Linked DNA regions of Daphnia pulex. The protein of the gene in region 2 binds, or shares a complex with, the protein of the main gene of each other region. Links are inferred from orthologs where the notes say so. Each region holds a gene or a part of one and is shown on either strand. Other genes may lie near its edges.

Region 1 (3,762 bases), on a different chromosome or scaffold from region 2:
AGTATCCGCTTCATGAAAGTTATCTTTACTGAGTCCAGCTTTGCTCAAAATATCCAGCTTGTTCTGCACAAGGGGCCAAAGATAATCGTCGGCAGTTTCTCTTGCTACTAGATATTGGACTACGACGCTATCCCGTTGACCAATACGATGAGCGCGATCTTCAGCTTGAGTTAAGACCTGTATGAAATCAATAACGGCTTACGTAAAATTCTGAATTCTTTCTAATATTTTTTTTAGCATACACCGGGATTCCAAAACAGTTCAGCAAAAACGACTAGATTGGCTGACGTCAAAGTTAATCCAGTGTTTGCAGCTGTGATCGATAGCACAGCGACCCGAACACTTTCCTTATTTTGAAAAACATCACATAACTTCTTCCGCTCGTCCGAAGAGACCGATCCATCAATCCGAATGTAACTTTAAAATAACGTTAATTAAAATTTATAAAATTCAATTATAAGGTCTATTACCCTGCTTTAGATTTTTCTTCAATGCACCGACTAATGTCATTTAACAAGCATTGATGATGAGCAAAACAGAGGAATTTCTTGCCATTCTCCAATAAGTCTGCAATATAGTCGCTGGAAAAGACAGATGGGAAAGACAGGAAAATAAGTATAATTTTGTTTAAATGTAGCTACATTTCTAAAAATTACCACACAGCTTTGCTTTTGGCTTTTGCCGTTTCGGAATAGTAAGATAGTAGAACACCCCGTTTTTCCATTGGTTTGGAATGTTCCTTTGTCATGTTTTTAGCCAACGTATCCATTGAGGGCGAATGACATTTGACAGCATTAGGATCAAGGACAACCATTTGCCTAAAATGAAAAATTGATAATTAATTACTCATCATTTTATCATTGTTGCTATTTATTACCTTTGTTTTGCTGGCAGCTGTGAAAGAACCTCACTTTTAAGACGTCTTATCAAATATTTCTCTTCAAGGATTAGTTGTAACTCGTTCATATTGGTTGCTCCACCATAATTCCATCCGAATTTTGTTTTTTTGGCTTCACAATAACGTAATCCGAAAGCATGGAAGTGTCTAACCATCATTATAGCAAATTGTGTTGACTACAGTTCAAACTCCTGAATTTGAATAAATGGCAAAGTTCCTTACCCAAACGGTTTCCTCTCTAAAATCTGTAGCTGGCTATACAGTTCCTCAGGGCGAGATAATGCCGGAGTCCCAGATAGAAGAATCACCCTCTTTGCTTCAGCACTTACAGAGTTTGCAGCGGTAGTTCGTTTTGATTTTCCGCCTATTATTAAAACTTGGTAGTTAAAAAAAAAAACTCTCAAACAAAAATTTAAAAAATAAAATGATAATACTTTTTACGAGGTGGCTTTCATCAAATATAATGGTTTTGAAGTTCATTGCTACTAGTTCGTCTAGTTTCTTTGTAAGCAAGTCGTATGAGCAAATTGTTACTGAAACTTCTTTGTCGATGTAATCCTTTCCTGAGCAAATAACCTTTTAAAAAGTAATGTTGATCTAATGAACATTTCATTTTTTTTTGTCTTTTCACATACTTGTATATGATGTAATGGGACACTTGGTAACCATACTTTAACTGCTTCATCCCAGGCAAATTTCATTGAAGATGGTGTTAAAATGAGCAAAGGCCAATCAGCAAGATAATAATGTGCAAGACCTAATGCCTGCAGAGTTTTCCCCAAGCCTAGAAAAGGAAGACATAAGGAAATTAAATACAATAAAAAGGAAGAAACTTAGCTAATGATTAATTTAAAAGAATACCCATGTCATCAGCAATTAGGATCCTTCCTTGCAAATGAATTCCATAGCAAATGCCCTGTTTTTGGAATGGAAGTAGAGACTCGTACAATTTTGGGTCTATGCTGCTTATATCAACTTCAGGTATCGTTTTTTCAAATGGGGCATTACTGTAAATTAAAAGGGAAATCCTGATTACACCTTTTATTTGAAAAGTATATGGATGCAATCTTTTTACCTAAAAATATCCAAAACAAACTTTGGCAATGGCTGAAATTGAAATCTTGTTAGCAATGGATCAAGGCTCTCCAGCAACTTTTGATGATCAGAAAGGGGAAAAGTCCATCTTCTAAGAACTCCATCATAACTTTTTGTGGGGAACTTTTTAAATATCTCTATCATTTCATTGTCAAATGGTGCATCAACACAAAATTTTCTTCTTGAGATCAACTGAAATGTTGCCGTAGGTCTTGAAGAACTGGCTGATGAACCGGAGTTAGCATTCTTTGGTGGAAATTTACTAGAAGAACCTGGAGAGTTCCAAGTGGATTTCCCCCCCGAATATTGAGGTCTTGAATAAAACGAAGAAGCACCTGAAGGACTTATTCCAACTGATGGGTTAATTGCAGGGGTAGGAGGTCTTAAAACAGCTGAACTCCCAGCAGAAAAATTGCTTCTATTGTTGTTTGTAACTACTTGATTCGTTTCGGTTTGTTTTGCAGCAGCACGTTTTTCAATAGCCTTACGACGGTTTTCTTCCATCAACTTTATTTGATCGGGCGTAAGAGGCATCTTTAGTTAGGTTTAATAAATATATCAAAGAAATAGAATTCTTATAAATGTGTTATTCTATAACCATCTAACTATGCAAATACACGTGCTAATCGGTCCACTAGAACTAAATCTCTAACATCAAAGGGAGTGAGGACTTTGAAAAAACACCTAATTACCATAACAGAACGTTGCCAGTTTCTTACGTCTCTTGTGCGCAATCTTTACAAACCAAGTCCAAGCGGCCAAAAACGCAACTTCTTTATGTCAACGTCAGCAACCATGGCTTCGTCTGCTGCCAATGTAAGTTAAAAACAATTTTTAATCAAATTCATTTATTTAAAAACAATTTAAAATGTATATTATTTGTCATGTAAGGCCGCGTTAATTGACGATGACACGCCTGGATTTGGAGAGGAAGAAAATCCGAAACAGTTCCGGTAAGTTTAATCCTATCTTGATGTTGACGTTTCAGGTTTCAGAAAAAATAATACTCATTAAATTTATTAATGACTCACTATCTTTTACTTAAATAGGCATCCTTATGTAGTTCTTTTCCACTTTGGCTTCAGAGCAGCTGCTCTCCTTGTTTACCTTTTCTGTGGCTGGTTCTCAGATGGATTTGTTACTAGTTTTGTTTTCACAGTTATCCTACTCTCTCTAGACTTCTGGACTGTAAAAAATATTACAGGTATTTCACCATATGAATGTATTATTGAATATTACTCAATTATGAACATCATTTGCAGGAAGGATCTTGGTAGGGCTCAGGTGGTGGAGTTACGTTGATGGTGAAGGCAAGAGTCACTGGGTCTATGAGGCACGAAAGGTATACCATGATGAAAAAATAATTTTTTACATTTTTTCAAATACATTTTTTCTGTTTTTTTTAGGAAGGTGATGTACGAAAAGTGCATGCTGCCGAATCTAGAGTATTTTGGATAGGTTTAATTGTTTTCCCTCTAGTATGGTCCATCCTCTTCATTCTTGCTATATTCAGATTCAGCTTTCGTTGGCTAGTTTTAGATTGTATTGCTCTTTCTCTGAATGGAGCTAATGTGTATGGGTATCTGCGATGTAAGTTAGGCAAAGGCACAAACCTAACTGGGGCCGTTTCGAATTACGCCAACGGATTCTTTCGTCAGCAAGTTATGGATAAGGTAAACCAAATTCTTGTCGTACATTGGATAAAACAAACTAAATTATCTTTCTCCTTTAGGCGGTTAACATGTTGACCCGACAAGCGCAAACTTCAA
Region 2 (3,033 bases):
ATGCTACTGTTACTGAAAATTGGAAGCAAAGAAGGCACACTCATCCATTCATCTCTCTCAAGAGGAGCAGATGAAGCGGGTTCTGTTGTTTCAGATGTTTTCTCTACCCATTCATCAGAATCAGAGGAATTGTCTTTTTTCTTGCTTTTTTTATGTTTCTTATCCTTTTTATGTTTTTTTTCTTTTTTACTTTTTTTGGATTTACCGGACAATTGAGCATCCAACTCAGGCAGCATCCATTTGTCTTCACCATTTAATTTGGCCAATTCTTTTTTAGCTTTCCTTTTCTCATAATCTCTTTCTGCCTAAAACAAAAGAAAAATAAACTAAACCAAATGTATACCAGTAAAATACTATTAAATCAAATTGGTGAAATGTGATGGTGTATTACCTTCGCAAGAATTGCCTCTCTCGCTTCTCGTTTCATTTGTCTCATTTCATCTAAGTCTTTAGAATTTTCAAAATTTATCGACATTTCAAAGGATTATTTCTATGGGCTAAAACTTGAAAAAGAAAACTAGAAAAGCAACACAAATTATTTTCAATCAAATTTACAAAAACGAAAACATTCGTTTTGACGTCTGTCGTTTTGAAGCGAAAACAAGCATTGCCAATTTGTTCAACCAGAGTCATCCGGTTCAACTTTTAATTTTTTTTACAAGCATATAATAAATTTTAAAAACGTTAATAAAAACGTTAATTAAAATTATCAATTGTAGTAAAAATTGTAAAAAGATGCCATTTAATTCAATATTGATATCAAATGTTTCCAACTCGTCAACATCGGATTGCGAAAACTAGTTTTCCCGCCATCTATAAAGAAAAGAAAACAGTGGATAGACGCAGTACAAGTTACAACGTCTGCATACCTGATTGAAGTGATTCACGTGCATTACGTTTTGTTTTGAGAACGACAAATTTAAACGAATAATTGAATTAATCTATAATGTGGGATCAATCAGCAAGTAATAAATACAATTTTGTCAAGCTTTGTGTTATTAACTTTACATTCTTTCCATTACAGGCGATTTTGGAAATGGAACAATGGCCGGTGGTTTCTTTAATGCTGGAACTCCAGGAGGCACAGTTAATACTCCTGGAGAAAAGAAGGTTTGAAGACATTTTTAATATCTCATAGACATTTTCTCATGTTTGTTTCATTCACAGGGTGGAGCTCAACGGGCTCATAATATCATTCCAGTTAATATCAAAGATATATTGGATGAAATTGATGAAAAACTAAAGATAGAAGATACTGAAGCCCACATGGTATCCATATTTATCTTCACTTTGAGTTACATTTACTTATGATTTACAACTTATCTCTTTTAGGTTACATTTGTAGGTACTGTCGAACAGATTGAATCCAAACAGACTAATGTTTCGTACACTGTAAGGGATGATACAGGTTCTATTGAAGTTGTTCAGTGGATTGAGGGTGAAGGGGTATGTATTGTGTTCTGCATATGTTTTCACTCATTATTTATTCCAATTTATTTTTGCAGAATGTCCAATCACCTTTTCAAGTTGTGGAAGGGAATTTTTGTCGAGTTGTTGGATCTATTAGACAGACACAGGATCGCCGTCACGTAATGGCATTTCGTGTTGCGAAACTAACAACTGCTAACGAAATAACAACCCACTTGCTAGAGACGCAATGGGTTCGTATGAAGTTGAGACAGATGAAGAGAAAAATGGTAATGAACAACTCAAATGAATGCTTGAACAAAGGTAAATGATTTTTATTTATAAAGGGAGAAGGAACAGGACAATCAATGAATAACTCAGTGATGGGTGGTGGAATGACTGGGCCTTTAGCTTCTTCATCCTCAGCTACTTCCAATGTGGCAAACGGTATCATGTCAGGACTGTCATCTTTTCAATCTATGGTTTATACCATCATTCAGGTAGATTCATTTGTCATCTATGTGATCAAATTCAAACAATAAAAAACCATGTTATTTTTAGGCAACAACAGCGGAAACCGGCATGGAAAAGTCGCAGATCTACAATTCTGTCAGAGGAAGAATGATCCCACGTGATGTAGAGTAAGTGTATTGATGTGGAAGACAAACATGTTTTCATTGATTTTAATTTAAATTTTTTATTAGTGCTGCTTTGGAATTCCTTTGTTCTGAGGGACATATTTACTCTACGGTGGACGAAGACCATTTCAAATCGACCGATAGCTAAACAAGATTAAGATGTACTGTACCTTCATTCTCATTAAATATCTACTAGAATAGATACATTATACTCAAAACTGTGTCGACTCAGTCTGCGGAATTTATCCTGAAGCTATTAATTCCAACTGTTTTGAAATGGTTCAGTTCTGTCTGTCTTTCAACATAAAAGCTTAAATCGTCTAAAATCCATCGGATCTACATCGGATAATTCATTTTCAGTATATTCAAATATCAGGTACATAATGACCACGGATAACTGGATCATGTCTAATTGCTATGGCAAGTGTTTGTGATGCATTCGAAGTAAAATGTTATTTACATCATAGAATGAAGACGTAAATGTTAGGTATCAGGCAAATTTACTTCTATTATTGGTGATAATCTTCTTGGAAGTTCCCACAGTAATATCCCGTTTCGTTGCCTACGAATAACCGTAGCGCCATCGGTTTCATCACTTGGTTGGAGTGCCGCTTTACTATGATAACATTATTGATTCAAAAATTAAAGCTAAACTCGCTAACATGTAGAAAATGTTTTGCTAAAGTTATCTTACTTTAATAGACGGTTATGATTTACTCGGTAAAGTAACTTGGGATTTAGTTTTGCAGGATCTTGCGGCTCAGACAAAATGCTTCCAATGGTACCAATGATTAAGACGATCACCACGCTCAATACCGTGTACCACAAATACGAAATCCGTAAGAGCACAAATGCATCCGCTCTAGAATGGAATGAAATATCGCGTTAAGTTTCAAATTATTATCTAGAAACGGACTCATACTTTTGAATAAAAAAATGAACGGAAGGTGACCCAACGTCTGTTGAATTGAACGACGGGCAGTTATCT

What was found.
Region 1: the proteins of replication protein A 32 kDa subunit-like (region 2) and SWI/SNF-related matrix-associated actin-dependent regulator of chromatin subfamily A-like protein 1 are in contact, whole or in part, in a crystal structure (PDB 4MQV), measured with the Homo sapiens proteins. The link is inferred for Daphnia pulex from reciprocal best matches to the Homo sapiens genes RPA2 and SMARCAL1. Residues at the interface, in NP_002937.1 of Homo sapiens: Pro222, Glu223, Ser250, Asn251, Glu252, Gly253, His254, Ile255, Tyr256, Ser257, Thr258, Val259, Asp260, Ser266, Thr267; in NP_001120679.1 of Homo sapiens: Leu5, Gln9, Lys12, Ile13, Asn16, Arg17, Ala20, Leu21, Arg23, Arg24, Lys27.

The regions. Positions count from the first base shown.
Region 1 is NC_060018.1:6,033,144-6,036,905, reverse strand, and holds the start of SWI/SNF-related matrix-associated actin-dependent regulator of chromatin subfamily A-like protein 1, read right to left. Parts: upstream 2,725-3,762; 5' UTR 2,528-2,724; coding exon 1,974-2,527; intron 1,906-1,973; coding exon 1,760-1,905; intron 1,683-1,759; coding exon 1,534-1,682; intron 1,475-1,533; coding exon 1,333-1,474; intron 1,263-1,332; coding exon 1,121-1,262; intron 1,046-1,120; coding exon 878-1,045; intron 819-877; coding exon 657-818; intron 582-656; coding exon 471-581; intron 418-470; coding exon 243-417; intron 178-242; coding exon 1-177. Other genes in the region: uncharacterized Golgi apparatus membrane protein-like protein CG5021, read left to right, coding at 2,771-2,809, 2,885-2,946, 3,043-3,197, 3,256-3,335, 3,400-3,666, 3,726-3,762. UniProt on the Homo sapiens protein: ATP-dependent annealing helicase that binds selectively to fork DNA relative to ssDNA or dsDNA and catalyzes the rewinding of the stably unwound DNA. Rewinds single-stranded DNA bubbles that are stably bound by replication protein A (RPA).
Region 2 is NC_060017.1:2,574,086-2,577,118, forward strand, and holds replication protein A 32 kDa subunit-like, read left to right. Parts: upstream 1-803; 5' UTR 804-946; coding exon 947-965; intron 966-1,024; coding exon 1,025-1,110; intron 1,111-1,167; coding exon 1,168-1,269; intron 1,270-1,332; coding exon 1,333-1,446; intron 1,447-1,505; coding exon 1,506-1,697; intron 1,698-1,754; coding exon 1,755-1,907; intron 1,908-1,968; coding exon 1,969-2,048; intron 2,049-2,111; coding exon 2,112-2,193; 3' UTR 2,194-2,371; downstream 2,372-3,033. Other genes in the region: CWF19-like protein 2, read right to left, coding at 1-305, 392-475; sodium-coupled monocarboxylate transporter 1-like, read right to left, coding at 2,529-2,661, 2,740-2,907, 2,968-3,033. UniProt on the Homo sapiens protein: As part of the heterotrimeric replication protein A complex (RPA/RP-A), binds and stabilizes single-stranded DNA intermediates that form during DNA replication or upon DNA stress.